2 linked regions of the Arabidopsis thaliana genome follow. The protein of the gene in region 1 interacts with the protein of each later gene in a pairwise test. Each region holds a gene or a part of one and is shown in the gene's direction. Other genes may lie near its edges.

The links.
Region 2: the proteins of NPX1 (region 1) and TIP interact in a two-hybrid assay, tested with the Arabidopsis thaliana proteins (one study listed by BioGRID).

Annotation. Positions count from the first base shown.
Region 1 is NC_003076.8:25,369,121-25,386,992, reverse strand, and holds NPX1 (nuclear protein X1), read left to right. Parts: upstream 1-7,746; 5' UTR 7,747-7,780; coding exon of another isoform or gene 7,781-7,884; 5' UTR 7,885-7,940; coding exon of another isoform or gene 7,941-8,099; 5' UTR 8,100-8,209; coding exon 8,210-9,394; intron 9,395-9,485; coding exon 9,486-9,534; intron 9,535-9,613; coding exon 9,614-9,772; coding exon of another isoform or gene 9,773-9,813; exon of another isoform or gene 9,814-10,170; coding exon 10,171-10,241; intron 10,242-10,407; coding exon 10,408-10,480; intron 10,481-10,564; coding exon 10,565-10,648; intron 10,649-10,737; coding exon 10,738-10,862; intron 10,863-10,959; coding exon 10,960-11,026; intron 11,027-11,118; coding exon 11,119-11,249; intron 11,250-11,338; coding exon 11,339-12,580; 3' UTR 12,581-13,038; downstream 13,039-17,872. Other genes in the region: AT5G63370 (Protein kinase superfamily protein), read left to right, coding at 201-2,039; AT5G63375 (uncharacterized protein), read right to left, coding at 2,506-2,690, 2,824-2,953; AT5G63350 (von willebrand factor A domain protein), read left to right, coding at 5,869-6,777; AT5G63340 (uncharacterized protein), read right to left, coding at 7,319-7,383, 7,439-7,629, 7,781-7,884, 7,941-8,099; NDPK2 (nucleoside diphosphate kinase 2), read left to right, coding at 13,155-13,394, 13,575-13,631, 13,777-13,863, 14,084-14,164, 14,259-14,371, 14,461-14,510, 14,804-14,871; AT5G63300 (Ribosomal protein S21 family protein), read right to left, coding at 15,218-15,871; AT5G63290 (Radical SAM superfamily protein), read left to right, coding at 16,099-16,922, 17,014-17,644. UniProt on the Arabidopsis thaliana protein: Acts as a negative regulator in plant response to changes in environmental conditions through the control of ABA-regulated gene expression.
Region 2 is NC_003076.8:8,412,131-8,427,251, reverse strand, and holds TIP (TCV-interacting protein), read left to right. Parts: upstream 1-8,175; 5' UTR 8,176-8,528; coding exon 8,529-8,706; intron 8,707-8,898; coding exon 8,899-9,179; intron 9,180-9,271; coding exon 9,272-9,529; intron 9,530-9,614; coding exon 9,615-10,073; intron 10,074-10,152; coding exon 10,153-10,332; 3' UTR 10,333-10,877; downstream 10,878-15,121. Other genes in the region: AT5G24600 (TRP-like ion channel protein (Protein of unknown function, DUF599)), read left to right, coding at 3,910-4,071, 4,878-5,462.

The DNA of each region.
Region 1 (17,872 bases):
CTGATTTCGTCAAGGGTGTTTTTCTTAATTGGTTGATTGATCGTCTTTCTAGTTCAATTGTTGAAAAGTAATTGAACATCTATTGAAATCTGCTTCTCGTGATTTGATTCTGGGTTTCGTTGATTGGTTTTTTTCGAGGGGTTTGTTTGTTTTATCCTTTTTTATTTCTATAAGATCAATTTCTCATTGAGAAGAATACGATGGCAGCAGGGGGTGTTGATGTTTCCAGAAGTTCCGTTGCTGTCAAAAAAGACTACGACTTTTACAGGAATGGTTCTCGTGATGTGTATGTTCGACAGAGTGGTAGAGATGACGAGAGGCGTCAAATCAAAAGGCCTAGTGACCATGATCTCAGGAGGAATGATGGGCGTCACCGATCACGGTTGGCATATGAGAAAGGGGAACTACGGGAGGAAGCAGAGGTTCAGAGACCCTCTGAGAAAAGGAGGAAGTTTTCACCCATCGTGTGGAATGCAGAAAAAGTGGGTAGAGCTCCATCTAGGGAGAAGACCAAGTCTCCTTTCCCTGTTCCGACTACAACTGTGATATCCAATCAGGCTGTTGCTGGTAAGACTACTTCAAACGATCAAGTGAATGCCTTGATGTCGCCAGAACCTAGTTATCTTGCTCCAGTGCAGCCTTCAGAAGCCCTGCTGGCTGTGAAACATCCTGTTGATGATTTGGAGGAGGGTCAGTTGGAGGAAGAACAGGTGATGCAGGAGGATGTAAAGGAGGGTCTGTTGGAGGAAGAACAAGTGATGCAGGAACCAAATATAAAGACATCTAGGTGGGGGACAGGTTTGACTTCCCCAAAGGAGGAGTTAATATCTGTTAACGTTTCCAAGACTAATAGATGGAACAGGAGCAGTTTGACACCGGAGTGCGAGGAAGTAATGGTGTCTGAAGAACAGCAGTGCTATTCGTCTGGATCTGGCAGTGGACATCTCAGCGTAGAGAAGCTTAGTGCAGATGGAAATTCTGGTCGTGAGTATTATAGTTCTGATCATGATGAGTTAGAACATGAAGATCAAGATTCTTTAACTCCGGGAGAGATGAACATGATGTTTGGGAGCAGGTCTGTGAATGAATTTCAGAAGCTAAACAAGATAAATGAAGGAACATATGGAATTGTTTACAAAGCAAGGGATGAGAAAACAAAAGAGATTGTTGCGCTCAAAAAGATCAAGATGAAGGAAGATAGGTTCGAAGAAGAGTATGGATTCCCTTTGACATCATTGAGGGAAATTAACATACTTTTGTCATGCAATCACCCTGCGATTGTGAACGTGAAGGAGGTTGTGGTTGGAGGGAAAAACGATAATGATGTTTATATGGTCATGGAACACTTAGAACACGACCTGAGGGGAGTAATGGATAGAAGGAAGGAACCTTTTAGCACTAGCGAAGTCAAGTGCTTGATGATGCAGCTGTTGGATGGTTTGAAATACCTCCACACAAATTGGATTATCCACAGGGATCTGAAGCCATCTAATCTTCTGATGAACAATTGTGGGGAGTTAAAAATATGTGATTTTGGGATGGCGCGCCAGTATGGGAGCCCTATCAAGCCTTACACCCAGATGGTTATTACCCAGTGGTACAGGCCACCTGAACTTCTTCTAGGAGCAAAAGAGTACTCTACAGCAGTTGATATGTGGTCAGTGGGTTGCATTATGGCTGAACTGTTGTCTCAAAAGCCTTTGTTCCCGGGTAAGAGTGAGCTTGACCAACTTCAGAAGATCTTTGCGGTCCTTGGAACACCAAACGAAGCAATATGGCCTGGGTTCTCATCATTTCCGAATGCTAAAGCCAAGTTTCCTACACAGCCTTACAATATGTTACGTAAGAAGTTTCCAGCTATTTCATTTGTAGGTGGTCAAATTCTTTCTGAACGTGGATTTGATTTGCTGAACAGTCTACTAACTTTGGACCCTGAGAAACGTCTAACAGTGGAAGATGCTCTCAACCATGGTTGGTTCCATGAAGTCCCGTTACCAAAATCCAAAGATTTCATGCCGACATATCCTCCAAAGCGGTAACTGAGAAAAAACGTGCTATCATTTGGACGAGAGGATGTCAACAAATACACAGGGAAGTCGACTGGTCGTATTTTGGTATTTTCCTTTTTACTCAAAAGACTTGCTTTCATCTATTCTTAACTCAGTTGCGTTGCTTTGTTGCCTGGAGATTCAGGGCATTCTAGTGTACCATTTATTCGGATTCATGTGTAAATATGAGTGGTCCGTAAAACTGAAAGGTGTGTTTCTCTCTTTTCGTTAGGACCCTAATGTTATTGCTATCAAGAGTTGTACACACTATTGACTCACATGCTTTAATGGAAGAGATCTCAGTATTCACTTTCTCTCTCTAGTAATTGGGTTGGGATGGTTATTGTTTATGTCCTCATATTTCTTCTGTGCATTGTTTTTATTCACGAGGTAAACGCAAAGAGTTTATCACAAACGTGAGAATGGAAGTTGACATCAGTAAGTTTATTTTGATTACTTATTTACCACGCTCTGTTATCAATGTTGGTTTGTTGTTCGACGTCCCTTTGTCTTTGAGGTGCTCGTATTTGGTCTGTTGGCAGTGAGAAAAAGATGATTCATGATGAGTTTCTGTGGACATAGGAGGTATGGCAGTGGTTTTTTTCATGTTAATCCGAGAATTAAGGGATTTGGGATAAAAAGCTATATAGAAAGAAGCTAAAATAAGTTTGTCTTCAACACTATAACCCTTTGTCCTCCTTTCTTTTTAACTTCTGTAAACAGCTAAGCTAAATCAAGTTCATTTCAATAACGAATAAACTAGAATCAGCATTACCTTTGACGAGGCCATAAACAGAAAGGATATTACACAACACACAACAGTGATCAATATGAGGAAAAGCTTCTTTTGCGAGATGATCTGCATCGTTTCGGTCCTTAGTCTTTTGCTCCCAGCTCCTTACCATATGTCATTGTGCAGCTTCAGCTGTCTATTACCATTTAACAATCGGTAATGTTTCAACAATCACTTTTGTAAATTCCCTTTCCCATATTCCAAACTCCTGTAGAATCAAATCTCATATTGTAGTTGGAATTTTTCAAAACGAGGTTTCTAAATTAGTTTTCTCTATATCAGATAACCAACAATGATATTTTGTTCGAACCTTTGGTCGATTAAAGAGAACAGATAATGATTGCCACATCATCTGATTTCTCTAATGATACAGAATTTCATAAACAAATATATAGAAACGAAATACTGATTTATCAAGTTTAAAATTAACTAAAGAATGCCCTAGTCATGGGTCCTCCTTTCCAAAACTGTACAAGTGTCCCAGACAAAACGACCAGTTTAAAAGCCCTTATCGAGACATCACACATTACCTTTTTTAAACTTTACCGACTCTGACACCATCAGATCCACACGTGGCGAGAATTCATTTGGCCACTTTCCCCAATTAGGGTTCTTGGGCGTGGTTTTGATGGTGATTCAGTCTACCTTTTTCTCTCTGTCATCGAACCTCTCTATATTTAGTATTTCCTTATCTTCTTCAGCTGTCAGATTATAATTGGGTGAACATGTTCGATTTTATTGTTTAGTGTTGATAGGATTTAGTACTTGTCTTATATTTATAAAATAAATAGCCAAGGTTTGTCGATGGTGAGCATTTAAATTCGGGGTTCTTTTTTTTGTTGTTTGAATTAGTAACTAACGATGTTTTATCATTGGTTCCTTCATATCCAACGAAATGACAAAATATCACCTTTTTCTCAAATTTTGTAACTATTGATTCTTAAAAAAACATGGTACATCTGTTAAGTGTCTGTAATTTTTGATGTGTTTATGTATAGTTTTAATTTTTTTACATCAATGCATAAAGCGAAATGTTTTTGGTCATGTATATACAGTATGTGTTTTTCTTACAACAAATATATTACTGATGATATACGATTATATATATACGTATATAATATATGATTAAGAAATGATATGTTATATAGTCCGTAACGGATAAGATTGCTTTGTCCCATATGCATATTATATCATTAATGATATTTTTCATTTTTCGTTATTCATCCGTTATATTTTTCATTTTTCATTTGTCCCATATGCATATTATATCAGTAGTATGTTTCGATGGTGGTTTTATGTTGAAACTGTTGGCTATCGTATTATATAATTAATTAGGTATAGAATCAGCAGGTGAGGGTGAGAGCAAAGGTAGTCAATTTTATTCATTTGTTTAATATATACGTAGTAATCAATGTCTTTAAGCCAAATATAATTTGATCTGATCCAACCCAAAAAGATTGTATTTGTGCATCCTTCTTCTTTTAGTAACTATGACATGTTTTTGATAATTGCATTTACTATCTGTAGGGACGTCAAGTAGAACCACTAAAATCATCTATACTTTAATGATCAAGATTACATTGTTGAATTAAAACTTTAGCTACATCAACTCTATACGGTATATCGTGTTTTCCTTGCAACAAAATATGTAATAACGAAAAATGGAAGATGAGATATCGAATGTTAAAGAATCAAACCTAACTCTCAAGTCTCAACATCAGTCATCAGTTTCGTCCACATTCATGAATGTATAAATATATATGGACTAATTATTAAGCCTTGGTTAATTAAATAATGAGATTGTTTGTGTAAATTATAGTTGTAAGTTGATAAGCTAATTACATATCTCTACGTGTCCTCTTGCGTGCAACGTACAACGCAACACAAACCCATCAGATTTTTCTTGATGCCATCTCGAACTGCCTTCCGAATCTACTTTATTTCTATGTTACTATATTGGATTTTTAATAAGATTTTGACTCTCATGTCCATATATACTTTTTCCGAATCAATTGTATGATTATATTTAAGATGGCTCCATGATACCGTCACTCCCTCATGATTTTTATTTATACGCCATCCAATGTTCCTTCTTTCCCTTTCATAAAAGAGGTGGCCTAACTTCATTGGCACAAAATTCCTCTTTGGACATGAGATCATCGACCTTGTCCCGTTAATAAAGATTTGAGATCTAGAGTCACGATCACCTTTAGTTGATTAAGATTATATTCCACTAAATTAAATTCAGAATCGGTCAATGATAATGTATGAACCCTCATCTCTTGGACCATGCCTAACATTACCTTTTTTTTTTCATTTCGATGTACTATATTTTAACCTAATTTTGGCATTTATTCATGATTATCTGTTTTTAGGCCAAACAAATTAGTATACTATTCAGGTACTAAAGTAGTAAACACAAGGGTCAAAGTGATTATTAGCTAACCACGGGACCTACTAATTAATTATATACTATTAGACCAGATTAGGTTCTCAATTCCGTTCCTTATGTATACGTCTAATTATAAAAATCTCGAATGCTAACATCATATTTTTTTCATCCGCGCTTTGATTGAACAACCGAATATAAGAATCAAATATATACCTTCATGTCAAATATTAATTAGACCAATATACTGAGAACTTCGAATTTTCCAATAACAAAACACCGACCATTTTTAAAACATTAAATTACAATAAGTACTGCTTAATTTGTGATAAAAAAAAAATAGTACAAGTTTAATTATATTTCTATGTCATGCCATTTTTGAATAGTTTTTTTTGTCGTTTTAGAAAATAGTTTTAAACATAAATTCGATTCATTTTTCATGTCCATTACAGAAGGAAAAAGAGCATGTGCAAGTGCAACGGTGATAAGCGTATTCTAGACAAAGACACGCGTATCAACCCAACACTTGTCATCTTCAGAGTCCCTATATAAACCCCTTCACACACACCTCTCTTCATTATTCTTCAAAGCTCCCACTAAAACCTATTAAGAGAGAAAGATATATACAGAGAGAGATCATGGACGGTAGGGGAGGTTGTTGCATAGCCAGATATGGTGGTTACGGTGGTCGCTACGGTCTCTCCAAAGCAGATCGAATCATGCTTCGTTTTCGTCCCATTGCTCCTAAACCGGCCAGCGACGGTGGAAGTGTCTCTCTCACCGGGAAGAGCGGCTCCACCACAACTACAAGTGGTGGAAGCTCCGATCTCTCAGGTAAATCTGGGAGAGGAAAGAGAAAGTATCAAAAAGATTGTTCCGGTGGGAACTCCCGAAGGTGCAATAAGAAGAAGAGAGATCTAAGTGGAGACACTGCTACTACCACGGCGGTTACATTGTCTCTTTTACCAGAGACGCCTGAGAAACGAGTTTTTCCAGATCTGAATGCTTTTCCGGTGGAGAAGCAGAAGCGAAACGGTCCTTTATGGCTGAGTTTCAACGGCGGTGGTGAGATTTTAACGCCGTACAAAACGGCGGAGATATCACGAAGGACGGTGGTGGTTTCGTCGTGTGTGACGGTTGAGCGTGTGACTGACGCTTGGATCGACGGTTATGGATTAGGGGAGACAAATCAGGAGAGGAAGATGAATCTAGTGGAAGACACGTGTCCTGGTTTTATATCGGACGGTGTAGGGAGAGTCACGTGGACCAATGAGGCGTATAAGAAGATGGCTAGAGAAGATATTAATATTCCGATGGAGGAAGGTGTACCGGAGGATATTAGTTACGATAATTTTCACGTGAACGTACGGTTAGTGATGAAGGAGAGGCCGATGCTAACGTACCCAGCTTTCACATGCAGAGTGAGATTACAGTACACGTGTCAAGATCGAGAAAGAGGATCCGTCACGGTGCCTTGTGACGTGTGGAGAATGGACGGCGGTGGTTTTGCGTGGAGGCTTGACGTTAAGGCAGCTTTGTGTCTGTGACGTTCTTTCATTCGCCACCGTTGGATTTACAATGGTGAAAATGATGAATGGTCCCGATCGTATCGTATCACACATGGCCCTTCGTAGAACTAAAAATATAGCAAGTGATAAACTTTGGTTATTTAATTTTCACCTTGAACATATGTTTCTGTGTTTTATTTTTTAGTTTGCTTTCTTCTTTAGTTAGTATTTTGTTTATAAAATGCTGTTTTCTCTAAATTGCTAATCTCAAATTTATGTTTTTTTTTGTTTTGCTTAAAAATTTCAAGAAAGTTGTATATATGTATGCCTTTTACAATCATTAAAGTTTTTCTTTTTCACATTGTTCGTTTTCATGTCATTTAAGCTTGAAGATGAAATTGTCAACATTCGTTTGCAAAGGTGTTAACATAATAAACAGTCTTCCCAAGCCCATACAAGAGCATTACGTAGAAAAATAAATAGTTTACTAATGGGTAGCCTCATGATATTCACTAATGGGCCTGAAAATCAAAAGATTCATAGGCACGTGTAATTCAATCGCGCTATTTACAGGGCGCGTTTAGTGGATAAAATAGTCAAAATAGTGGAGACAATGTCGGTCGGTATCCGCGTCTATTACACGCGCTATAGTAACACGTGTAATCTATTAATTCTTGCGATTTGGAGTATTAATACTCACGCGCTCCAAGATCTTTTCTCAAAACAATTAGAGATCCAGATTCACTAGATTGCACCGTAGCCTTCACAGCCGTTAGATCTAAATATCGACGGTACATATCGAAAGGATAATTGTAGCCGTCTAGATTTGGTTGGCTGGAATTTAACGGCTTAGATTCGATTAAAGGCGGCGGGCTGCTCATCTCTTCGGATCTATAAGTAGAGAAGCAAATTGTTCGTTATTCTTCGTAAGTCTCTCTCTCTCCTCTCACCTCTTTCGTTTTTTCGAATTTTTTTTTAGTTTTCCATTCGAAAAGATATCCAGAAGCTCTCGATCTAGGGTTTTCCAAATCGATTTTGGTACCTTTTTTTTGACTCAGTCGAGGGTTTTTCTAGGGTTTCGATTAGCTTTTTTGCCAATTGCCGTTGAGGAAGATACTTCTTCGGTGAATTTGATTTGATTTTGACCTGAGGGAGAAGCAAGAAGCTTAGACCAATTGGGATTCTCAGTTTGGTAAGTCAACGTGCAATTCATAGGAATTCATCATCGGATTGATTTGGTAATCGCATTCTTGTGATATTTTTTCGGGGAATTGTGTTTTGGCTCGATAACGATGAATGGTGTCTATAGATTCATTGTTGAAGATATCTGCAAGATTTTTGGAGCAAAGGCATAAAAGCATTACTTGCTTGATTTTTTTTTTTAGTTTGTTTTATATTCTAATTTGATGGTGTGAAGACGATTAACTCTGAAAAGCGAATGAACTGTTGGGTTTCTGGTTTATAGCAAACGATGGGTAAAGCGCGGAAACACTCTAGAGGGAGACCATCAGGCTTTGTTCCTGATTACATGCAAGCTGTTGAGCCTGATGAATTTGTTTACTCAGAGAGGATGAATTCTGAGGCGTCTCCTCCACTGAAAAGGAGACGTTTTGGTTTGAATGGAGATAACAATGGCGTTTCTAAAGAGGTTTTGTCTCTGTCAAAGATGTCGAGGTCTGAGAGAAAGAATTTAGTTCACAAGTTGAAGATGGAGCTTCAACAGGTCAGGGACCTTAGTAAGAAGATTGCATCTTTCAGTTCAGACACTGTTCTGTTGTCGCCATACAATGATCATAGCTGCAGTGATGGGCCTAGGAGGCCGCCACCAGAAAACTTTGCTACATTTGTTGGGTCACAGGGCAAAAAGCGCCCTCCTGTGCGCAGTGATAAGCAGCGGAATAAGAAAGGTCCATCTCGATTAAATGTCCCAACAAGTTATACTGTTGCTTCAGTGATGAAGGAGTGTGAGACGTTACTCAATCGTTTATGGTCACATAAGTCGGGGTGGCCATTTCGTACTCCAGTTGATCCAGTGATGTTGAATATTCCAGACTATTTTAATGTGATTAAACATCCAATGGATCTTGGAACGATACGAAGCAGGCTGTGTAAAGGTGAATACTCTAGTCCTTTGGACTTTGCAGCAGATGTGCGTCTTACATTTTCAAATTCTATAGCTTACAATCCACCAGGAAATCAGTTCCATACTATGGCTCAGGGTATCAGTAAATATTTTGAATCGGGATGGAAAAGTATAGAGAAAAAAATACCTATGTCTAAACCACCAGTTATTCCCCTAACCAGTTCTGCTTCTCTGGAGTCTGAAATCCCTTTCGAAGTAGCACCGATGAGAAAGAAGGAAGCTGCAATGAACGATAACAAGCTGAGGGTGGAACCTGCTAAGTTGGTCATGACAGATGGTGAGAAGAAAAAATTAGGCCAAGATCTGATGGCATTAGAAGAAGATTTCCCTCAAAAGATTGCTGATCTCCTGAGAGAGCAAAGTGGCAGTGATGGTCAATCTGGAGAAGGTGAGATTGAGATAGATATAGAAGCGCTTTCTGATGAAATCTTGTTCATGGTTCGGAAACTCCTGGATGACTATTTAAGGGAGAAAAAGAAATCCATGGAAAAGAGCGAACCTTGTGAGATGGAGGTAAAGAACCTCTCTGATTATTTTTAGTAATCGTTTGTGTGCACTTGGAAATGTTGACATTTGACTTTTGGTTTTAACTTTTCTTTTACAGATTGTTCATGACTCTGGATTCAGTAATTCCCCTTTGCAGCCTAGTAAAGGTATGTTTTTGCTATTTAATTTGATGTCGAAAATGATTTCCTTCAGTAATCTGAGTATCTGATGTACTCATAATCACAGGTGATCTGCAAATTGACGAGGATGTTGACATAGTTGGTGGGAATGACCCCTCGGTCTCAAGCCATCCTCCTCTTAAGATAGAAAAAGATGCTGCATGTAGAAATAATGAAAGCAGCAGTTCGAGTAGCTCTAGTAGTGAATCAGGCTCTTCATCTAGTGGTTCGTGTTTATGCGAGCCTTCTTCTATTTCCTTAGAATAATCATTTTGTTTCTCTTAAATAGTGCATTGATTTGTACAGTTTGTAAGAATAGTTAAGATTGGAAATAAAGTAACTTTTCTATTGAAATGATTAGTATTGGACTCCTGAGTCTTGTTTTGTAATTTGAGCCTACGTCGTGTCCCATATTATCTTTTCGATGCTTTTTCTCTGCTCTAGTAAGTGTGGTTATTCCCTTGCTATAGAGGATATTATAGTTAGTTTCTGTGGTTATCGTTTATGACGAATGAATTAAGTTCTTACATTGTGGTTTGGCAAACTGTAGAATTGATTCCTTTGCTTTATTTTTACTCATAGGAAGTGCTTTTTATACTGATGTGTTCTGTGATTATCTTTCAGATTCTGATTCTTGTAGTTCCTCTGGGAGTGAAACAGATTCTATTAAAGCTTCAAAACCCACAAGTAGAGAGGTATATCTAACAGTGGAATAACTTATGTTATGGAGTCTCTGTGTTTGGATGTTGCTCTAATTTCTGCAAGATTTTTCATTTACTCACCAATATTTCCATGGACTATTTGCAATCATAAAAGTGAAATTACTACAGAAAAATAAGTATAGTCTCCTCTTTAATTTAGGAAAAAAAGCAACCAGGAGTTGGTATAGACAAAAAAGAGGATGATAGCAACAGTGAGAAGATAGTTGTAAATGGTTAGTCTCTTTATAATTGATGTATGCAAGTTGGAGTGCTCGGATATAGAAGTCTTCCCGACACTCATTCTTTGTTCTCTGTAGATTCTTTGAATGAATTGGATCAACTTGAGCATACTGTTGGGGAAAAGTCAACCACCATGGATGCAGTAGTTCTCGTTCCAGATGGTAAGAAATGAAAGTTAAGGAAGGTTGGAGATGGTAATAGATGTTTATTTTCAGATCATGAGTTTACCTGTCATGCTTTGGTATTATAGAGGAGACTGCTCCACCTGAGAGGCAAATTTCCCCAGATTCCCCAGATAAGCGTTACCGCGCGGCTTTCTTGAAGAATCGTTTTGCTGATACCATTATGAAAGCTCGAGAGAAGGCTTTTACCAAGGTTGAATTTTTAAGTGTCCGATCTACTGTGTTGACGAAAAAGCTCGCCTGAACTTGTGGATTGTTTTAATCAAAAAATTTAATGCATCAAATTTCAGGGTGAAAAAGGGGATCCTGAAAAATTGAGGATAGAAAGAGAGGAGTTTGAAAAACGGCTACGGGAAGGTTGGATTGTAGTGCATTCGAGTGTGCTTATGTACCCATAATTCCTAACTAAATACTTTTATTTTTAATTCTTGCGATTTCCGTTTGATTAGAAAAAGAACGGTTACAAGCCGAGGCCAAAGCAGCTGAGGAGGCTCGGAGAAAAGCCAAAGCAGAAGCCGCAGAAAAAGCGAGGAGGGAAAGAGAGCAAGAGAGAGAAGCTGCACGTCAAGCTTTACAAAAGGTATAAAAGACTTTTCGAGTTTCTCTTCTATTATTCAGAGCCCTACCATGGTGTACAATCATGATAAATGACTTTCTGGTCTGTTGCAGATGGAAAAGACAGTGGAGATAAACGAGGGCATACGGTTTATGGAAGACCTCCAGATGCTTAGAGCTACAGGTACAGAAGGTGATCAATTACCGACTTCCATGGAAGTGATGAGTCCCAAGTTTAGTGAGGATATGTTGGGTTTGGGTAGTTTCAAGATGGAAAGCAACAGTAATCCATTAGAACATCTAGGTCTGTATATGAAAATGGATGAGGATGAGGATGAAGAAGAAGACCCGCCACACTTTAGCCAGAGAAAAGTAGAAGACAATCCCTTTGACAGAAGTGAAAAACAGGAACATAGTCCTCACAGAGTAGAAGGAGAGGATCAACTCGTTAGCGGAAATGAAGAGCCGGTGAGCCAAGAGGCACATGATAATGGGGACCAAGAAGATGGAAAACCCATAAACCCAAATGAAATAGAACGACAACTGGAGAATATGCCAGAGCAAGAAAGTGGAGTTGGTGACAAGGAAGAGCAAGAAACTGAAGTTGTCGATATGAGAAAGCAAGAAAATGAAGTTGTTGATATGGGAGTGGAAGAAGTACATCCCCTTGACCGAAGTGAAGGGCGTACACTCAGTCCTCACAGAAAAGAGAGAGAGGACCCACGTGCTAGCGGTAATGAAGAATCGGTAAGCGAAAAGGCACAAGATTATGAGAACCAAAGAGATGAAAAAATCAATCAAAGCGAGAGAGAAGAACAATTGGAGAATGTGCTAGAGCAAGAAAGTAGTAGAGATGATGATACAGGAGAGCAAGAAACTGAAGTTGTCGGAGTAGGAAAAGAACTTTCCCTTGACAAAAGTGAAGGACAAACACTTAGTCCTCACAGAGAAGAGGGAGAGAACCAACTCGATTGTGGAAACGAAGAACTGGTAAGCCAAAAGACACAAGATAATGGGAACCAAGAAGATGAAAAATCCATCAATAAAATTGAAGGAGAAGAACAATTGGCGAATGTGCCAGAGCAAGAAAGTAGAGTTACTGAAAAAGAAGAACAAGAAACTGGAGTTGTCGACTTGGGAGAGCAAAAAAGCGAAGTTGTCGAAAAGGGGGTAGAAGAAAATGAAGCTGTTGACAATGGTGAGGGAGTGCAAGGAACTGAAGTTTCGGACAAGGGAGGAAACGAAACTGTAGTTGATGGCAATGGAAAGGTAGAAACCGAAGTTGTGGACAAGGCAGGGCAAAAAACTGACCTTGTTGACCAGGGAGAGGAAGATATAGATGTAGAAATTGATTGATGAAGTCTTTTTTCCGGGTCTTGTTAAAAGCAACAAGATGAAAAGAAAAAGTTGGGGATGTTTACGCATTGATTCTTCTATGCACAAAATGTAAATTTGATGTGGCGTGAAATGGCTAAAGCAAGCAAAAGAAAGGCAAAGCCAGATACATCTAGAAGACAAGACGATGAGTCTGTATTGCCTATTTTTCAACGTGACTCTGTTGACAATGATTCTAAATCGACGAAAAAAGAAAAAGAAAAAAACAATTTTGCTACAAGAAAGATGGTTTGGTTTGGTATTAAAGCAGCAAATTGTGCGACTGTTGAAATGTGCAGACTTTTGTTTTTTTTAATCTTTTAGAAGAGTAAACTGTACAGGGAAAGAGAAAGAGTCTGTTTCCTCCATTTAAACGAGACACTCTTTGTACTCGAGATCACTTTTTAAATTACTTCTGAGCACTGATACTTTTTGATTGATCAACTAAACCCAAATTATCTTCGCTTCTGGATAAAGGGTATTTATGTCAATTAACTTTGTTCTTATAAGATGATGATGCGAAGACACTGAGAGAAGCTAAGACAAAGCGCAGAAAATGGTGGGAGCGACTGTAGTTAGTAAATGGACTCCCCTATGTGTGGCTTCGCCGCCGGAGAGAAACTCGGCAAGTCTCAATCCACACTGTTCTCCAGCCAGGGTTAATTTTAGAACAGCGTTGGCCGCATTTCGTCCTCAGTTCCGTCTTTTCTCTCGCAATTCCGCGTCTCGCCGCCGTCTTCGCGCTTCCAGCTCCGCCGAATCGGGAATCTTCCTTCCTCACCTTGTAGCTTCTATGGTTTGTGTGCTTCCCCTCCATTTATGCGAATTACTTTGTTTTCTTAGTACTTACATTGATTAAACTCCGAAATCAGGAATTTAGGATTCAAATTAGTTTGGATATATTCTAATTTGATGAATCTCAATGCAATTTAGTGACCTTTTGATTGTTCTTACGTTGTTTTCTGTATTGTTTCAGGAGGACGTTGAGGAGACTTACATTATGGTGAAACCTGATGGCATACAACGAGGCCTTGTAAGCGTTTTTGCTTTTCATTTTTTTTCTTCTTCTGATTTTGAGGTTAAATTATGTATCTTGGAACTCTATGGAGCTTTGAATGTTATTTCATTACACTATCTTGGCTTAAATTATGAATGTATGATTCATTTGATGTTCTTAGGTAGGAGAAATCATTTCTCGCTTTGAGAAAAAGGGGTTTAAACTTATTGGGCTCAAGATGTTTCAGTGCCCAAAAGAATTGGCTGAGGTTTGACACTCACTCATTACATCAGTAGTTTGATAACTTTAGATTGCTTCTTAATGTGATATAACTAATAAATCATTGACAAGTATCGAGAAATTGAAGCCTGATCATGACTTGCATATTTCACTTATTCGCTACATTTGCGTAAGATGACGCTGCCTCATTTTTTTTTCATATTCGATTGACATAATTAATATTCTTGTGTGTTTATCTCAATTGCCAGGAGCATTATAAGGATCTTAGTGCTAAATCATTCTTTCCTAACCTGATTGAGTACATCACTTCAGGTCCAGTTGTGTGTATGGTATGGGTATAACTATGCTCTAATTTGATTTTTACTTGTTTTCAAGTTGTAATTAGATGAGTTAATTGCATGTGATGTTTTAAACCTGGTAAAGGCTTGGGAAGGTGTTGGTGTTGTTGCTTCAGCCAGGAAGCTAATAGGGAAAACAGATCCGCTTCAAGCTGAACCTGGTACTATAAGAGGAGATCTTGCTGTGCAAACCGGAAGGTTGGACTTCTATCATCTTTAAAATTGTTGGAAGTAAGCACTTAAAATAATTCTCATGGTTTGATATTTTTAAATTATGCAATTTGCAGGAACATTGTGCATGGTAGTGACAGCCCTGAAAACGGCAAGCGTGAGATTGGTGAGATTTCTTGTTTTTTGTTCAAATCATTCACCCATCTTTCATTGTTGAGACATTGACTATGTCCAGTTTAGGGGCAAATCAACGTGGTTCAAACTGCTTCAAATTAACTTGATAACATAACTAGATTAGATCATACTTGATTACTGAAATTGTTAGGTTCAATATATCTGTTTTAAACCATTACTATCACTTCTTCATTTACTTAGTTTGACCAATCACTCTCATTCCTTAGTATGCTAAACTTTTAGTTTTCATTTGCTGACATTTTGGCTCTTGTGGTTGTGGCATAGGTCTGTGGTTCAAAGAGGGCGAGCTATGCAAGTGGGATTCGGCTCTAGCTACATGGCTAAGGGAGTGATCCTTGAGAAGACAGAGTCAATTATAATGGTGTCCTTACTTGTTTTCTTGTTACCGATGATGAGCTTTGGTGTTTTGTTCCTGATTTTGGGCGGCAATATAATATAACTGCCAATCTATGGCTTGATTCTTCTCATATCTGTGATCACTTGTCATGTAATCAAAACTAGTTACAGATTCATCTGCATTTGGTTCTACGTTACAGACACCTCCAAAATCATTCATCTTCACTCTACACCGAGCAATGAAAATTTTCTAATCTCAAGCTAAAAGAACATACAAAAGAGTGGCTTTACAAAACGCAGATGCTGCGTGATTAAGATTGCTCAGATCAGTGTACCGGAATATCATTCCGGTTTACTTCTAAGACCGGTTGGTATATGGAATCTCAATGTCCTCAGGAGGAAGTTCCCAGTGATCGTCTTGTTCGTCTTCTCTGGATGCATTTCTGTTGTGCTTGCGGATCTCTGAAGTTGATAGTGGTTTTGGTTTAGGGTTTGGTCTCCTGTAAAATCAAAATCTATTGACTCAACTTCTCCAAGTGTTTTTCGAAAGAAAGAAGAAAAAGTGAAAAAAAAATCTGACCTTTTCCGATACTTCTTCGCAGCTTCTTTGGTCTTCCGCGTCTTCTTCTCCAGAGAGCTCTCGAAGAAGCGTCGTCTTCGAGATTCCTGCAACACACCCGCTCTGAAACACGACCTCTTGAAATCGTTAACCAGCTGCTCCTCCGATTCGCCGTCTTTAGGCACCACCTCGACGTTGTAGTAACTGGACTTGAAGAATACGAGATTCGCGTTCGCCAGCGAAGGATACGCCACTCGATTGATGACGTCATCGTGCTCGGCCGTTAAAATCTTCGTCGTCATCGACAAATGCTGTGACGTTCTCGCGGATACGGAAGACGGAAGCGTGATAGGTTTCAGACTCGACGGAGACGGTGGTTTCGACGAGAGAAGGGAAGAGAGAAGCTCCGAGAGAGAGACTATCGATTCTAGCGCCATTTTTTTTTCCGTCTGAATAAGTGAATAATCGTTTCATTCTTATTATAATATTTTTCAATTGTAATTAGTGTGTTAATTAGATGGTCAAGTCTTTAGTGAGTCTACTTTCTGACTAAAACGACGACGTTGAAGCATATAAAACGAGACCAGTGAACTTTGATCTTTGAAAGCTTTCTCTCTTCGTCTCTCTGGCTCTCTTTCTTTTTCTCTCGTTTTATTTGGTAATTATGCTGAAAACAACGATTTCTCCAATTTTCTCATCGTTTACAGGTAAACCCAAGTGCTCATCGAAGTTGTTTTTTCGAGCTTTTAGTAAGGTTGTTCTACAAGATACTCCACCAAGTGCTCGACGAAATGCGTCAACCAATCTTACTACGTTACACAAAGGTCCACCAACCTCAGCCTACGTTCATCTTCCGTTTTGTCGCAAACGCTGTCATTATTGTGACTTTCCTATCTTAGCTCTAGGCATGTCTTCTTCTTCAGCCAGACCGTCTAATGTCTACGAGGAAGGAAAAGAAGATGACCCGAGAATCACGAACTATGTGAATTTGCTTGTTAGAGAGATAAAAGCGACAAGGACGGATTTTGATACGAACCCGAATCTAGAAACGGTGTTTTTCGGTGGTGGGACGCCTTCTCTTGTTCCTCCGAAGCTTGTTTCTTTGATTCTGGAAACATTGAGTTTGAATTTCGGGCTGAGTCCAGATGCTGAGATATCAATGGAGATGGATCCAGGCACGTTTGATGGTCAGAAGCTGAAGGATTTGATGAAATTGGGAGTTAACAGAGTGTCTTTAGGAGTTCAAGCTTTTCAAGATGAGCTTTTGAAAGCTTGTGGAAGAGCTCATGGTGTCTCTCAAGTGTATGAAGCAATAGAGTTTGTTAAAGAATGTGGAGTTGAGAATTGGAGTATGGATCTTATTTCTTCTCTGCCTCACCAGACTTTGGAGATGTGGGAAGAGAGTTTGAGATTAGCTATCGAATCACAGCCCAATCATGTTTCTGTATATGATCTGCAAGTCGAACAAGGCACAAAGTTTGGAAATTTGTAAGTGTACGTAGTTCAAGTTTGCTTACTGATGCTTAAGAACTTGAATGTAATCTGAACAGAAACGAATTGGGTTCATGAACTTGTGTAGGTACACTCCAGGACAGTCCCCTCTTCCTTCAGAAACACAGTCTGCAGAGTTTTATAAAACAGCATCATCGATGCTCCGTGGTGCAGGTTATGAACATTATGAAGTCAGCAGTTACTCGAGAGACGGTTTCAAGTGCAAACACAACTTGATATACTGGAAGAACAAGCCATTCTATGCTTTCGGTTTAGGTTCAGCGAGTTATGTTGGAGGGTTGAGGTTTTCAAGGCCAAGGAGGCTAAAGGAATACACAAACTATGTCGCTGACTTGGAGAATGGCGCAGCAAACTGGTGTGGAAATGGTGATGTTGATCTTAAGGATGTTGCAACAGACATCTTAATGCTATCTTTCAGAACATCTAAAGGGCTTGAACTTAAGGAGTTTGGAGAAGCTTTTGGCAGTGAGGTAGTGAAATCAATCTGTAAAGTTTATGAGCCTTATGTGGAGAGTGGGCACATTGTTTGTTTGGATGATATGAGAAGCGAAGTGATGATTGATGAATTCAAAACCTTAGTTGCAAATGATGAAGTGAAGATTGAGGATCATGTGAGGTACCTTAGACTGAAAGATCCAGATGGTTTTCTCCTCTCTAATGAGTTGATATCTCTATCGTTTGGCGTGGTAGCTCCTTAAACCTTAAAGCTACTAACAAGAAAGATTGTTTTATACTCTTACTGTTATAGATTGTGTTTCAACCTTGATGTTATCATTGATATGTATGAAGATTCGATAAAATTACAGAGAAAAATCTAATCACTATTCCTATTTTGTGGAAGGAATCATCTGTTTTTACAAGCTTACAGAAAAATCATTTGTCTATGTAATCCATCTGATATCCATAGCAACTAGCTTCATAACCAC
Region 2 (15,121 bases), about 17 Mb from region 1:
ACACACAAAAAAAAAAAGTCAAATAATTCTTCAATTTTCAGAATTTAGAAATCCCAATACAGTAAGTAAAAAGACTTAACATGTGAATAGTTTTTAGAACACATGTTATTTTAATAAAGAAATTTTTATAATCGTTTTGATAGATAACCTAAATTTATAAAATCGTTTTCATTTTACCTAGTAAACCTTTGATATATATAATATCCAAACAACGTCATCTATCATTAGAGAATTCAAGGTGGAGAGACAAATACAAATTACAATAACATATATAAACTAACAAAGATAAGTAAATACAAGACATTCTAACATTAAAGAACAGCTGTAAATTGGTAACTTGATAAATAGCAAAATCATAACAAATCTCAATGAGACCAACAACTGAAACTTAAAAGATTGCAGCTGATCTTATCGCATCCAACTTGAATTTATATGTTGGATGCATAAATGCTTGCATAGATGTGAATAAATTTGTTTCTCTTTCTTACGTTTAGAGCTTTCATTTATGTCATAACGTGTTTTACCATAAAATCTTCGACCAGAAGAAGAGAATGAAAAGGAATGCATAGATGTGGAACTTGAAGCAGGAAACCTCGGAGGGTGAAGACCCCCATTAAACTCATTGTCATGTAAAGGTGGTGAAGTAGGAGGAGGAGGCTAGGATATTGGTGAGTATGAGGAGATGTCGATTCAGAATTATTTACAAGAGTTTGATGAGTAAGATTGTTTGATCCAATACCTTCTTTCCAAACAGGCCCACAACTAGAACATCTTTTTCATCATCTTGAACCACATGAGCAACTAAAAGGGGACAATTATTGGCATGATGATTTATAAGGCAACAATTGGTACAAATTCTCTGAAGCCTTTCATTCCCAAATCCTAGCATAGCTCATTCCATGGATTTAAATTGAACTCTTCGAAAAAATATAAGACGATATGTGATCATAATTCTAATCTTAACATGGATAAAGGTTATATAAGTTGTAGTCTCTTCATTATAATCCAACTCAAAAACAGGTCCAAAAATACCTGTAATAAAACGCATAGTTAGTTCAGAGAAATAAGGAAAGAGGATATCTCTAACTTGAACTCATAAATCAATGAAAGTGAAAAAGTTCGGACCAGAAAAATCTTCTCATCTTTTCAAAGCAACAGACTACTAGTTAAACATGCAAGAAACTCTTCTCAAAATAGACATCAAGTCAAACTGAGAACAAAAACGAATATATATTAGAGTCAGGAATATATATGCGTATAGTATGTGATCATATTGCATAATAATTATCGTCTATAAACAAACGTAAACTTCAACGTCGTTAGTAGACTATAACTTAAAATTATATTTATTATAATGGAACATATTTTAAATTTTGTTAATGTAAGCTATTTACTTTTATTTAATATAGTTTACAATTTGATTACAAAAATATATTTTTAATCAATCTTTCTAATAACTCCCAATTCTTATTAACTACCAATTACTTTAAAAAATCTATTATATATTTTTACTCTCTTTTACTCTAATTATCACTTTTCTTTTCCTCCTGATACATCTTTTCCCAATTACTGTACTCTCAATTACTCTAATGTTATCCAATCAGACCCTAAATAATGTATCTACAAAGAGTCATGTATGTATAAACCACGTGTAAACCTAATAGATAAACCCACGTGAAGAGAGGTATGGATGCTAACTTCAAGACCGATCCAATAATAGTTGAAAATAACACGGACTGATTAAATTTCCTTCATAACAAGTCAACGAAAGTCTTTTATTAATGGTAACGGTAACATGTCACACGCTCCCAATTAAATGCTAATCTCAAATCTTAATAAGCATTTTTCTTAGCTCCTCGAGCCTCCCATAGGATTACTCTTTAAGACTTGGTGATAGTAGTTGTTGAAATTTGATGAACATGCAAGTGACACATATTACATATACGGCTCTACTTTCTACCAAGTGGTACCACAACGTACACAAATAAAAATTTAACAAAAAGAAAAACGTACACAAATAAATTAAATTCTTAAAAGAATATTTCCTCCAAGTCAAAGAAGAAACAAGTTTACTCTTCTTTTAACGTCCGGGTCTTCTTTTAACGTCCGGGTTATATATATAGTAATTGCTAAAAGCCCAAAACTTTATGTGATTTAGAACAAACAGACTTTATGTGATTTAGAACAAACAATTTTCAGAATCATACATTTTCTTAATGCCTTGAGCAACTTTTGATCACCATAATTTACTGTCTTTTTCGAAAACTTATGTAAGTGAGTTGTTATTGTTGTTCTAATAATAATTATAAAAATGGCAACATTGTTATGGTGGGGAATCCTCGAGGAATATACCGATGCCAAATCAGCTGTGAAATGAAGAGAGAGACGTCATAGAAAGTAGGTGGGCCTCTAGTGGGCCGTGCATGTTCTCAAAAGTTTTCCACTTTCCTCACATTTTTCTCCTTTTTTGGTCTTTTTCAATTAAACGCCACATTCATTTTTATTTTTATTTTGTTGCAAACTTAGCTATTTTAAATCTATTGTAAAGTTTATCAAATTTTTATTTTTATTATTATAGAATGTTTGTTATTAGAAAATATATCTTTTGTAATGAAAGGCTGTAATTTATTTATTTTGATATAAACTTGCCAAACAAATGTTTTCCGTATCCTCGTTTTTCAAGATAGAGTATTTTTTATTATTATAAAATATATATCTTTTGCAATGAAAATTTTTAATTTAAAATTTGTTTATTATTTGATTATGTCATAGTATTAATAGATACTATATCTTTTGCATTTTTTGAAAATAGTGAAAGAAACTTTTCGCATGCTTTGTGTTGTGAGTTGTTGAAGAAAAAAACTTTTAGAGTGTGAGTTGTTGACAAACAAAATTAAATACATCTTTTGCATGCTTTTTTTTTCTTTTTCTTAATTCACTAATTAATGGACCTTTAGATTTACAAATGGTTAACATAAATAAATTAAAGGTTGTGGATACGAAACTAGTTAATTTAATAGTATTGTTTACTTTTTGTATTTTGAATAATCTATATATAGAGTAAACCTATAAAATTCATATTTTCATATATTATTTTCTAAAATTCCTACAAATGATTTAGGACTTATCAATAAAAGTTTTGAAGATGTTTTAAATATTTTGTGGTAATTTTGAATTAATATAAAAAATCAATTCTATGTTTTAGAATACCTCTATTTCATATATATATGTTAAATATGGAAGATCCAAGAAAACCAAATTGGGTTCGAAATGTTTCACCATTTTAATAAATTCTGATTTGTTTTTTTTTTTGTAAAATTAATAAAATGTATGATTTTTCTAGTCCTTATAGTTTAACATTGCTTCGGAAATCCCATGAATTGCTACTGACTTTTAGTATTTGTGGTTACAGCAATTATTTGTAAATTGTAACACTAGATTTTTGCATCCAATAATAAGAGTGAAAACTTAAAATGATGAAGGATTTTAGGATTTTAGGAGTTCTTTCAAAAAATTCAACTAGATGTCAAATATATATCAATTAGTCGATTACTTTTAAATATAGTATATGTTTGGTAACAAAAACATTGGTAAATCCGAATGCCAAATGGCAACGGCTGGTCCAAACTTAACAGCTATAGGGTTCTTCCTTTACAAGTTGGAGATTTGTACACATATTTAATAACGCACACACACACACGTTTATACATAAAGACTCAAATCTATAAATAGAGGTATAGAGTGAAAGGAAACGCCTAAGAATCCGGAAAGCTCAAAACAAAAATTGAGAGAAAAATATAGCATTAGATACGGGAAGGTCCACGTAAGACCCGTACTCTACTTTGATTCTCTCAATCTCCTTCAATTTTTTTCTAGATTTTTTTTGTGATCAATCTTTGATCTAAGAAGATGAAGCGTGAGTATTTAGATTATACACTTGTGCCTTTAGGGCTTGCTTTGATGGTCTTTTATCATCTATGGCTTCTCTACCGTATCATCCACCGTCCTTCTTCGACTGTTGTTGGCCTTAACGCCTTCAATCGCCGCCTTTGGGTCCAAGCCATGATGGAGGTCTATCTTTTTACTATTTTTTAATCATATTTATTTGCTTTTGGTTATAAAAATGCATATGTAGATTTGTTTTTTCTAGTCAAATATATATGATTGATCTCTCTACTTAATTTTACATGAGTTATATGATCATTTTTTTCCTGGAAAATGCAAAATTATTTTAGCTCATTTGGTTTTATATTTTGAGGGTTGTTGGAGATGATAACTAAGGAGAATCTTGTTTATATAAATTGCTTATAGTGTTGATTTACACATAACGATAAAGATGAATTAATTGAATAAGAAGTGATAAATGATAAGTGTATGCATGTGTAGAGATTTTCCTGGGAAAGAAAATACTGACAACAGTTTCAGGTCCTTTTGTATTGGATTGGAGGATGTGAGGTTGAGATTCTATCTCACTATGTGCATATATAAAGTTTAGTATATGGTTTATATATAAATATGAGTATAATTCTAAGTATAATCATCATGCATGCACCTCATAAATTGATACTAATATTGAAAGTTGAAACAGTATCAAGTTGTTTTTCTTTCTTCTTTTGCTCAGATTTTTTCTTTTCTATGTGAACATAATTATGTTAAAGTTCTTTACGTTAATGCAAGATTTTGAACATTTCCTTACTAAATGAATCCGCAAGTGTGAAAGCTAACAACACTCAAAAGATGCTTTGCATTTTTGGGAAACTTTTTTTTGAAAAAAATGTTTATAATTACATTATTTCCTCCACCAATTTTTTTCACTTTTTGTTGGATTTGAGATTTCTTGTACTAACTTATGTTCCGTTAACAACTATTGTAAACAGGACTCATCCAAAAACGGCGTTTTAGCGGTTCAAACGCTAAGGAACAACATAATGGCATCAACTCTATTAGCATCAACCGCAATAATGTTATGTTCACTAATCGCGGTACTAATGACTAGCGCTACAGGAGAGCGATCAGTCTGGTTTGTGTTTGGAGACAAAAGCGACCGAGCCTTCTCGCTCAAGTTCTTCGCAATCCTCGTGTGTTTCCTAGTCGCGTTTCTCCTCAATGTCCAATCAATTCGTTATTACAGCCATGCAAGCATCCTTATCAATGTCCCCTTTAAACAGCTCATGGCTGTTTCTTCAGGTGGTCGTGGTAATGGTAGTCTTATGATAAACCAAGATTATGTGGCTGCAACGGTTAACCGTGGGAGTTACTTCTGGTCGTTAGGACTACGAGCGTTCTACTTCTCCTCGCCTTTATTCCTATGGATCTTTGGTCCCATCCCAATGTTCATAACTTGTTGCGTTCTTGTTTGTTCGTTGTACTTCCTTGATTTAACGTTTGACTCGATGAAATGTAGCGTTGGAGCCGCAGACGCGGAGGAGCCCGAGATTAGAAGCTTAGCTCAGAATGTTTAGTAGTTTTTTTTTAATTTGATAATGGTTAGGGGTTCAGATATATTGAAGAGAGTTTTGTTCAATGGAACATACAAATCTTGTAAGTTGTATTGATTCAGGTTCAATGGTAGTTGAACCGTGTCAAAGTGTCACTCTGTAACCAAGTGAAGAAATTTGTTGTCATTTAACCGTAAAATTGTCAATTTTACTGATGTCAAAGATATATATATTTTTTTGGTAATTTTGCATATGCATATGGTATATATGGATCATATATATTCCATGTTTATTTTCAACCCTTTACTTTAAAAGTTACGAAGAATTTAGAACAAATTACAAATATGGACTTGGATCAAAAATGTTCATAAATTCTACTTCTATAGCTTTTTCTTTCCCCGTTTATAATATATGGTATTCGGAGGTAACATTTTTCTTATTTTTTCTGTCAACCACATTAATTGTTTGAGATCTCTTTAACCCTTTTGTAGTTAGGACAAATGTTAAGAATCCATAATAGTAAAACTAAATATGTATTTATTTTTGGAGCTTTTATTTTTAATCTTTTTTTAAAACACTATATATATAGTGGGTGGTTTTCTATATTTTTTTAACTAACGTTGATATAGGATTTAACCCACGATATACCGTGGGACAATTTGTGTTTCGCACAATCTTGATTCGATATGTTTAATATTGGTAGTGTAACAAAATAATAAAATGAAAAGAGCAATTGGGTAGGGTCGGATCATCATGAGATATTTAGTAATTTAACAACTTGTAGTTTTGGTGACTTCTTAAATTTTGATCAGATAGAACATAGCCACTAAGTAGGATCATGAGGAAATACATAATTTTCTAAATAAAATAAAAATAAAAAGAGAGATTTCCACATATTCAAGTTTTAATATTTTTTCTTTGTTTTTCAAATAAATTAAAACTAAACTAAAATCCACATCTAATTACCATTCAAATTTTTCAAACAACTAACATTTACACCAAAAAAAAAAATTACAAACTAAAATTCGAAAGCCAAAAACTATTTTAAAAGCTACATACATTTATGATTTTAAACAACGGAAAATAAAATATTTCCAGAAACTGAACTTTGAGATAGAAAGTAAACGTCTTTAGTAACTAAGTGATTGGTTGGCATGTCACCGTAAATTATTCGCTGTAAAATTTTGACCGTCAGCGTGTAAAATGCAACCGTGTATTTTATTGTTATACGTGTAGATATTAGGGATATAAAGTCTTAGAAGTAAATTTATTAGTCGTATCTTAAAATATGATTAGTAAATATTTTATAAAATATTATAGTTAACCAAACTATATAATAAACAACAACACAAATTTTGTGATGCACATATAGGTTAAATGGAATCTATATAAACATGTAAAATAGTTTATATGTTAGTCGGATAATAACTACATATTAGTTGAAAAGAATATATACATATAAATTTTTTGTTCAAATGTTGTTCAAAATTTATACATAAGTATACATTAACAAACAAAACTATACATGGTATTTATACTATTAGTATATATCCATCTAGTGCCTAGTGTACATTATATAAGCAACACATAAAAAATGATCATGAGGAAATAAAATTAAAATAAAAGAGAGATTAAATTAAAAATATAACTTATAGAACTTATAACAACATATGGTTTTAGGTTGTAGAAATATAAGATTTACGGTCACAAGATTTTTTTTTTTTCTAAAACTAATTCACAACAATTTGGTCTTCACAAAAACAATTATGGTTGTAAAAGATTACATTCCAACTAATCAAACACTATAAGAGACTATCCTCAAACTAGAAACGCAGAGGTCTAAACCCAAAAACAAAACAAAAAGCAATGACTTAGATAAACTTTGTTGGATATGGGCTTCGCCCCATTTAACATTCGGAGGCCCAAACAAAGAGTCATTGAAAACCTCAGTTAAGAATGATGAAGACCAGCCCCCCTGAGAAAGCCGCAGCCCATTGCGAGATGAGGCCCATTTTCTGGAAAGGATCAGCCGCCATAGAAGTTTCATATCGCTCAGAAAATGGTACTGTGTACTTTCATTGAAGTACTATAAATATTGACAGAGGAATGCCAGAAAAGGACACCTGAAGTCGGACGAGAATAGTACAAGAACATTCTCATTCGGATTCAAAGACATAAGCTCGACAATTGACTTGTGTAGTTTTATTCTTGTTGTATCTCTTAAAACGAGGCTTGGCTGTAAACATATCTTGTAAACGGCCGAACGTTAAGTTTAGATAAATAAGATCTTCCTTTTCGCTCGCTACTTTCTTCTCTGTTTTTGAGGTTTAGTTTTGAGTACCAACGGACTTCGATATCAAACGTTTTAAAGTTTAAACCTATTTGATTTACATTATTTGGTTTAAATAAATTGATTCAGACTTCACACGACCAAGAAAAAAAAATGGTTGAATTGGGTTCTCATCTATTGGGCTTTAACAACAAACACTATTAGTAAGATGGGCTGGCCAGTTGTGTAAACTGTTTCATATTGGTAAATCAATATGATACCAATTAAGTTTATTTAATTCTTCTTTAACTTCCGTACAACTATCACGAAGCTTCCTTTATAGCATCAACGTGTCAATATATGATTCGCTAGGTGACATCTCTCGTTCAGACATCCTCACCTTTTGACTCATATAACCCCTATTTCCGTAACTATTTTACTGCAATACTTCAGGGGTAAAATAGGTATTTACATTCTGTTTTGCCTTTTACGCGTAACGAACGTGGTTTTGTGTTTTATGACTTTCTGGGAAACAGTGGTACGCCTATCCACGCGCCACTTTTTCATCTCTTTGTCTTTGATATCTCTCTTGTCTGACCAAATCGTGTCACATCTCCTTCTTCTCCACTTTACCAAATCGTGTCAAATTTTAGGGTTTTTTCTTTTCGTACTTCATCAAATTCTGGAATCTGGTTTTTTCTTAGTTTTCTTCTATATACCTTTGAATCGCATCTTTGATCCAAATTCATTTTAGATATCACCTTGAAGTCGAATTTGTGATTTTTTCTTTTCCTCTCGAATTCTCAAAGTCTCACGCAACTATGAAAGAAGACATGGAAGTACTATCGCTCGCTTCACTACCGGTTGGGTTCAGATTTAGTCCAACGGACGAAGAGTTAGTCCGGTACTATCTCCGGCTCAAGATCAACGGTCACGATAACGACGTTAGAGTAATTCGTGAGATCGATATCTGCAAATGGGAGCCTTGGGATTTGCCTGGTAATTCCTTTCTTCATCAAATCAATTCGTTGATTCATCTTTAGCTCTTTAGTCTCGGTTTAGCAATTCCCAGGCTTCAATTCCGGTTTATGCATGTTTGAATTTGGAACAATATGATCAATAACTTCTTAGCTTAGGTAGTGGACTTAGTGAATTTGAGTAAAGATTTATACTTTAGTATTTGTGGTGTAGATTTTTCTGTGGTGAAGACAACAGACTCAGAGTGGCTCTTCTTTTGTCCTTTGGACCGGAAATATCCGAGTGGAAGTCGAATGAATAGAGCTACTGTGGCTGGATACTGGAAGGCGACGGGAAAAGACCGTAAGATCAAATCAGGAAAGACTAAGATTATAGGTGTTAAGAGGACTCTAGTGTTTTATACAGGTCGTGCTCCTAAAGGGACACGAACTTGTTGGATTATGCATGAGTATCGTGCTACTGAGAAGGATCTTGATGGAACAAAGTCTGGCCAGGTAAAAACCAACTTGGCAAATGATGGCATTAACTTGTGTGTGTAGGTCTTTTGTGTTTCTGATTGTGTTTGTTTGATTGTTTTTGGTTGCAGAATCCGTTTGTTGTTTGTAAGTTGTTTAAGAAGCAAGATATTGTGAACGGAGCTGCTGAACCAGAAGAGTCAAAGTCATGTGAAGTTGAACCAGCGGTATCGTCTCCAACTGTTGTGGACGAGGTTGAAATGTCTGAGGTATCTCCTGTTTTCCCTAAAACAGAAGAGACTAATCCTTGTGACGTCGCAGAGTCTTCTCTTGTAATCCCCAGCGAATGTCGTAGTGGATACTCTGTCCCTGAGGTTACAACCACCGGGGTAAGGATGAACAAAATACATTCTTTTCATTACAGGAGGCGGTACAACCGCTTTGTAAACTTACAAACTTCATTTTACTCAACAGCTTGACGATATCGATTGGCTCTCGTTTATGGAGTTTGATTCCCCGAAGCTGTTCTCTCCGTTGCACTCTCAGGTGCAATCTGAGCTCGGTTCCTCTTTCAATGGCTTACAATCTGAGTCTAGTGAATTGTTCAAAAACCACAATGAGGATTACATTCAGACTCAGTACGGTACAAATGATGCGGATGAATATATGTCCAAGTTCTTGGATTCTTTTCTTGACATTCCCTATGAGCCAGAACAGATCCCATATGAGCCACAGAATCTTAGCTCATGCAACAAGATCAATGATGAATCTAAGAGAGGAATTAAGATTAGAGCTCGACGAGCACAAGCCCCGGGTTGTGCTGAGCAGTTTGTAATGCAGGGCGATGCCTCAAGAAGGCTGCGTCTTCAGGTTAACCTTAACAGCCACAAGTCAGAAACTGACAGTACACAACTTCAATTTATCAAGAAAGAGGTGAGAAGAAGTTTGTTTTCATACCTTCTCATGTATTACAATTTATGATCCTTATATTTATGCGATAAAATGTATATAGGTTAAGGACACAACAACGGAAACTATGACGAAAGGATGTGGAAATTTCACAAGATCAAAGAGCAGGACTAGTTTCATATTCAAGAAAATTGCAGCCATGGGATGTTCATACAGAGGGCTTTTCAGAGTCGGTGTGGTAGCGGTTGTGTGTGTGATGTCGGTCTGCAGTCTAGTCGCATAAATCCGCTGAATGTGATGTTTGTTCCGATCAATTCATATAGTAAGAATAAAGAAAGTGGTTTTTACGGGTGGAGAGAGCGCGGATTTGTGTGTATAACAGGGGTTTTGGCCTGGTTCTGCATCTGTTGTTATTGTTGTTGTTTTTGTCGGCTTAAGCTTAACCATGGTCGGTTTAGGAGTGTAGTAGACTTGTAGTTAACATGTACGACGACTCATAATATTCAGATGGTAATGTTTGGAAATTTTTTTATTCCTGACCACATGTGTCTTGAGATTGCGTTTTTGACATTTTTAGTAGCCTTGTACAATCAGAAACAAACTACGAGTTCGAATGGTAGCACCGTAATGAAAACGGTGTCAAACATGTTAGTACGAACCGACCGGGTAGAGATATTTATTAGAGGTGTGTTTATTTCGTATATCATTAAACATGTTTAGTATGATAGGACGGTTTGATTGAGGGTATGGACTGTTAAACATGTCATTTGGGTATTTTATGGCATTAAGTATGCCCAGTAATATATTACAAAATTTTTGGACAAAAGAATGCATATTTGAATAGTTCAAATAATATGATCACCTCTCTTTTCTCTCCTTCATATCTTTTAGAGAGAGGAACTGTTGAATTCTGCCGACCGGATTATTCTGGTAAACTGCCGTCCCAAGTTTTGGGCTTTTGCCCGACATCTTTTTGGCTTTGTTAGCAAAGATGGCCGGTCCTCTTCTGGCAAATCCGGCTTCTACAAGAATAATTGTATCCTTACTACTTAATTGTATGGACCAAGAATAAAATTTCAAAATTTAGTTGTTTTCTTGATATCTGTAAAAAAAATTAAACAACACTTACAATAAGACATAGGAAGCAGTTTGTATCAATATTACTGTCGTGTTGCTTTGGAATAAAACCCAAAATACGTAAGTACCAAAACAATTATTAGACTTTTTAAATGTGTTAGCTGATATAAGTAGTATATATCAATGTTGTATCATACTTTGAATAAAACTCAAAATTATGTGTGAGTAAGAAAAGAAAATACAATTCTTTCCAATATATAAAAACATCGTAAATGCATAAAATATGTGCATTCGAATCTTAACGCCATTGCAGTTGGACTCATGTCTCCACATGCGATGCACCGAACACCAACTAACTTTATCTCAACTATTTTTAGAATTCACGTATCATGTTCTTTAATCAATTTAATATTTCGATTATAAATTTATAATGACCAAAGAAGGTGATGCACACTTTTAAAGCGTAAATATACAATAGTGGATATGAATGACTCGATGCTTGATCATTAACATGGCACATTACATAAAACAAAAGTCTATAAATTTCTTTTAAGTTTTATTAAAAACGGATGACAAGAAAAGAGAGTCTATAAACTTATTTTAGCAGAGAAACTAATTCGGTTGTGGCATAGAGTTATTTTTTTATATGGTTTAGTCAATATGGCTTTTTGTATTTTTGACTTTTTGGATATACTTTTGAATCAGATTAAAGTCGCATATTGCCGGTTGGTATAAAAGGAACTTCATGTTAATTCCAGAACGATCTGAAAAATCTTCCATAAATCAATTTTATTTAACAAATGCAAAAACCATTAGTACGTAAAATTAACCTATAAAAAACCAGAGGTTATTTATTGTCTTGATTTTTGATCTGCGATAACATCTGCTGAGTTTTGAGTTATACAAACCACTCAAGTCTCAACATTGAGATTTTTTCAGGTCCATTTGGATAAAACAATAGTTGAAACCCATAAAGATAGTGCGCGTCAAAAGTAAATTATACATTGAGACTCAAACTGTGAAAACGATCGGATACAAATTACATGTCAATTATTATTACTTAAAGTTCATTTTATAGCAGGTATACCAAAAAGTTAAGTCCAAATTCGCAGTTTTAGAGGAATTTTTTACTACAAGTAAAGTGATAATATCATCAGTTTTACCAAACGATGGAGACCAATTTTAGTTTGTAGCATAATATAGAAAGTATAAACTAATTTAGAGATGGACACAAGGTAAAATACAAGTGATTCATTTTTCAGCTGTTGTGTATGAAAAATTGTTTTATATGTTACTTTTATTCGTTCGAAACGGATATTCAACATTTTACATTAAAAAAAATTTCGTTGCAGGTTATTATGAAAAAAATACATTTCTATTGTACCGTTTTAATATTTTTATAACAAACACTAAAAATATCATTTACCTCTGTAACAAAAAAAAAATCATTTGCCTGAAAAATTCTTCAATTTCATTACCTAATCCACTCCAAACAATTACATAGTAAAAATGAGATTTTTGTTATTTACGAATACTTTCATTCTTATAAGCAATACAGTGGATATACTAAATTTAAAATTTTGTAACTCTTTAAGACTTATTAAAAATTATTGCCAAACTCACCAAGAAATATGGAAATAAATGTACTTTTTTGTTAAATCATATTTGGATAAAAGATGGACTCATAGATACGCACAAAAATGTATACATTCAGCATATTGTGTAAGCTGAGTCAGCTCCAGGTGTTTGGGCACATGTAAACATGGACCCGACCTTTTTACCTCTTTTTCTGTTATAAGTTTTTAAAATAAAATTAGATTACTTCACAAAGACTATAAAAAGGATTATAATTCCAAAAACAAAACAAAATTATAAAAGTAAAAAAGATATAGTTAACTAGAAAGTTACCAAACATGGATTATAAACCGGTCAACTACGTACATTAAGAATCTGAGTGAATTCTCTGAACACTTTCATCTATCATTTTCTTATAGCTAATTTTGTCTTAGTGGCGAACCGTAAATGCCTCTAAAGGTTCACTTTAATTTCTAAATAGTTCTTCCAACTATCGAGCTTATTTGTTTTATACTTTATATGATAGTTGTAATATGTCATAATGTCTGAGTTGCGATATATCAAATAGGGCACGACGGATAAGAACACACATTGATGGTGATATCAACCAGAAATATATGATATACGTGTTGTCTATAAAACGCCCCTAATTTATTCATTAACTTCACATAATCACGTAAACTAACATTAGTCGCATAATCGAGTAACAAACATCTACTGGTCTACAAGAGTTGTCTTAAGTCTTGACTGCCAAACAAAATGAAATTATTCTCTCATTTGTCCAAATTTAATCTAAAGCATCCCACGTGATTTCTACTTTTTCCACCATGCCAAGGGGTTTTTACAAACACTTTAATCTACCCAAATATATTTTTAATAGTTTTCATTTTATTGGGCACCCCATGTTGCATCTATCCCCAAAAATTGCTTTTGAAGAAATGTGAATACTATTTTTCTATTTTTATGAAAATATAGAACACATTGTTTAGTGAGTTTTCTACTGATTAGATTGTTCTTAGTATCGAGAATACAAGTAACCGAAACTTGTGGTTAAAGGATTTTGATGCCTCTGCTAAAAGGAGATAAATCAAATCTACCAAATCCGCTTTAACGAACAAAGAGAAACTAATCTAATGGTTTCATACAATGTATGCAACTATAGTTTGATTTGTCTTTTCTAACCACTTCGAACTATAGAAATTACTTGCAATGAGAAATAAATAGTATACTTTCTGAACTATTTTTTTTTTTTCGATTACATTACACACTACAAACAAAATAGTTTGTGTGTGAAATTTAGCTTTTAACTTTGTAATGTATTACTTATAAAACATAAAAATAAAACCTCTTCGTATTGTAAATGATAAGTATTTTCTTAGTAAATAAATTATTTAGCTGACAACATAATGTTGGGTAGAGATGATGACACGTCATCTTATCATCTTTTTCTCGAACTAACATTGGGTTAGAAGTTATATTAAAATTAAGAATAGGAAAGATTAAATTACTATAGAAAATTAAGGAGGAACAATATAAATGTAACCAATAAAGTCGGTGAGTATGATGCAAAGTATTGTCCTTTTCGATGCCAAAAATTATTTTCTCATGGTACGTTCCTTTTATTTATACATAGTTTTCCGCGTTATCATGAATATACGTTTCTCCCATGAAAAAAAAAATATACATATCAGAAGGGAGTAATCCACATAACATGAAAAGAAAAGGAACAAGCTAAGTGGTAGGAATTTGCAAGTAATAAATTGTTTTCTTAGAATATTGTAATACATATGTGGTTTTTATATCAAACTTAGAATTTGATTTCTCATGTTGAGGTGTGAAAAACTAAATTATCATGCAAAAACTTGTAGATTTTGAATACAGTAAAAGATCACATATCTTACAACTAAAATTAACAAGATTAAATTTCATATTTTGGAAGCCTAACTGAAAAAAACTGACTCAACAAAACGAACAACATCCGGACATAACTAATACGATGCCCATTATACAATCATTCAAGGTACATGATCAAAGCACACCCACATTCTATGCCTATAAAACCTACCGACCTCGGACCATCTTGTTCCGGGCCCTCTTCAAAAAATAGTAAATTGCAAAAGAAAGAAAATCGAAAAGGTTGTTTGTAAAATAATTACAAAACATAATTAGTGGTGAGAATAAATCTAAATATAAGGTACAAGGGGGTGAAGGGGTGTGTGTCTATATATGTTGGATGATTAGTTTCTGCCATGTGCTATGGAATCAACCTCTTATGCTTTATGTTCTGTTTAGCTCCTACCTTATACTATAACTTTAATTATTCATCAATAATTCTAATTCTCCTTCGTTTTTTAATATACTAGTGTTTCATATAAATACTCGCTCTCTCTACTCATTCCCTCCATAACATATATTTCTTC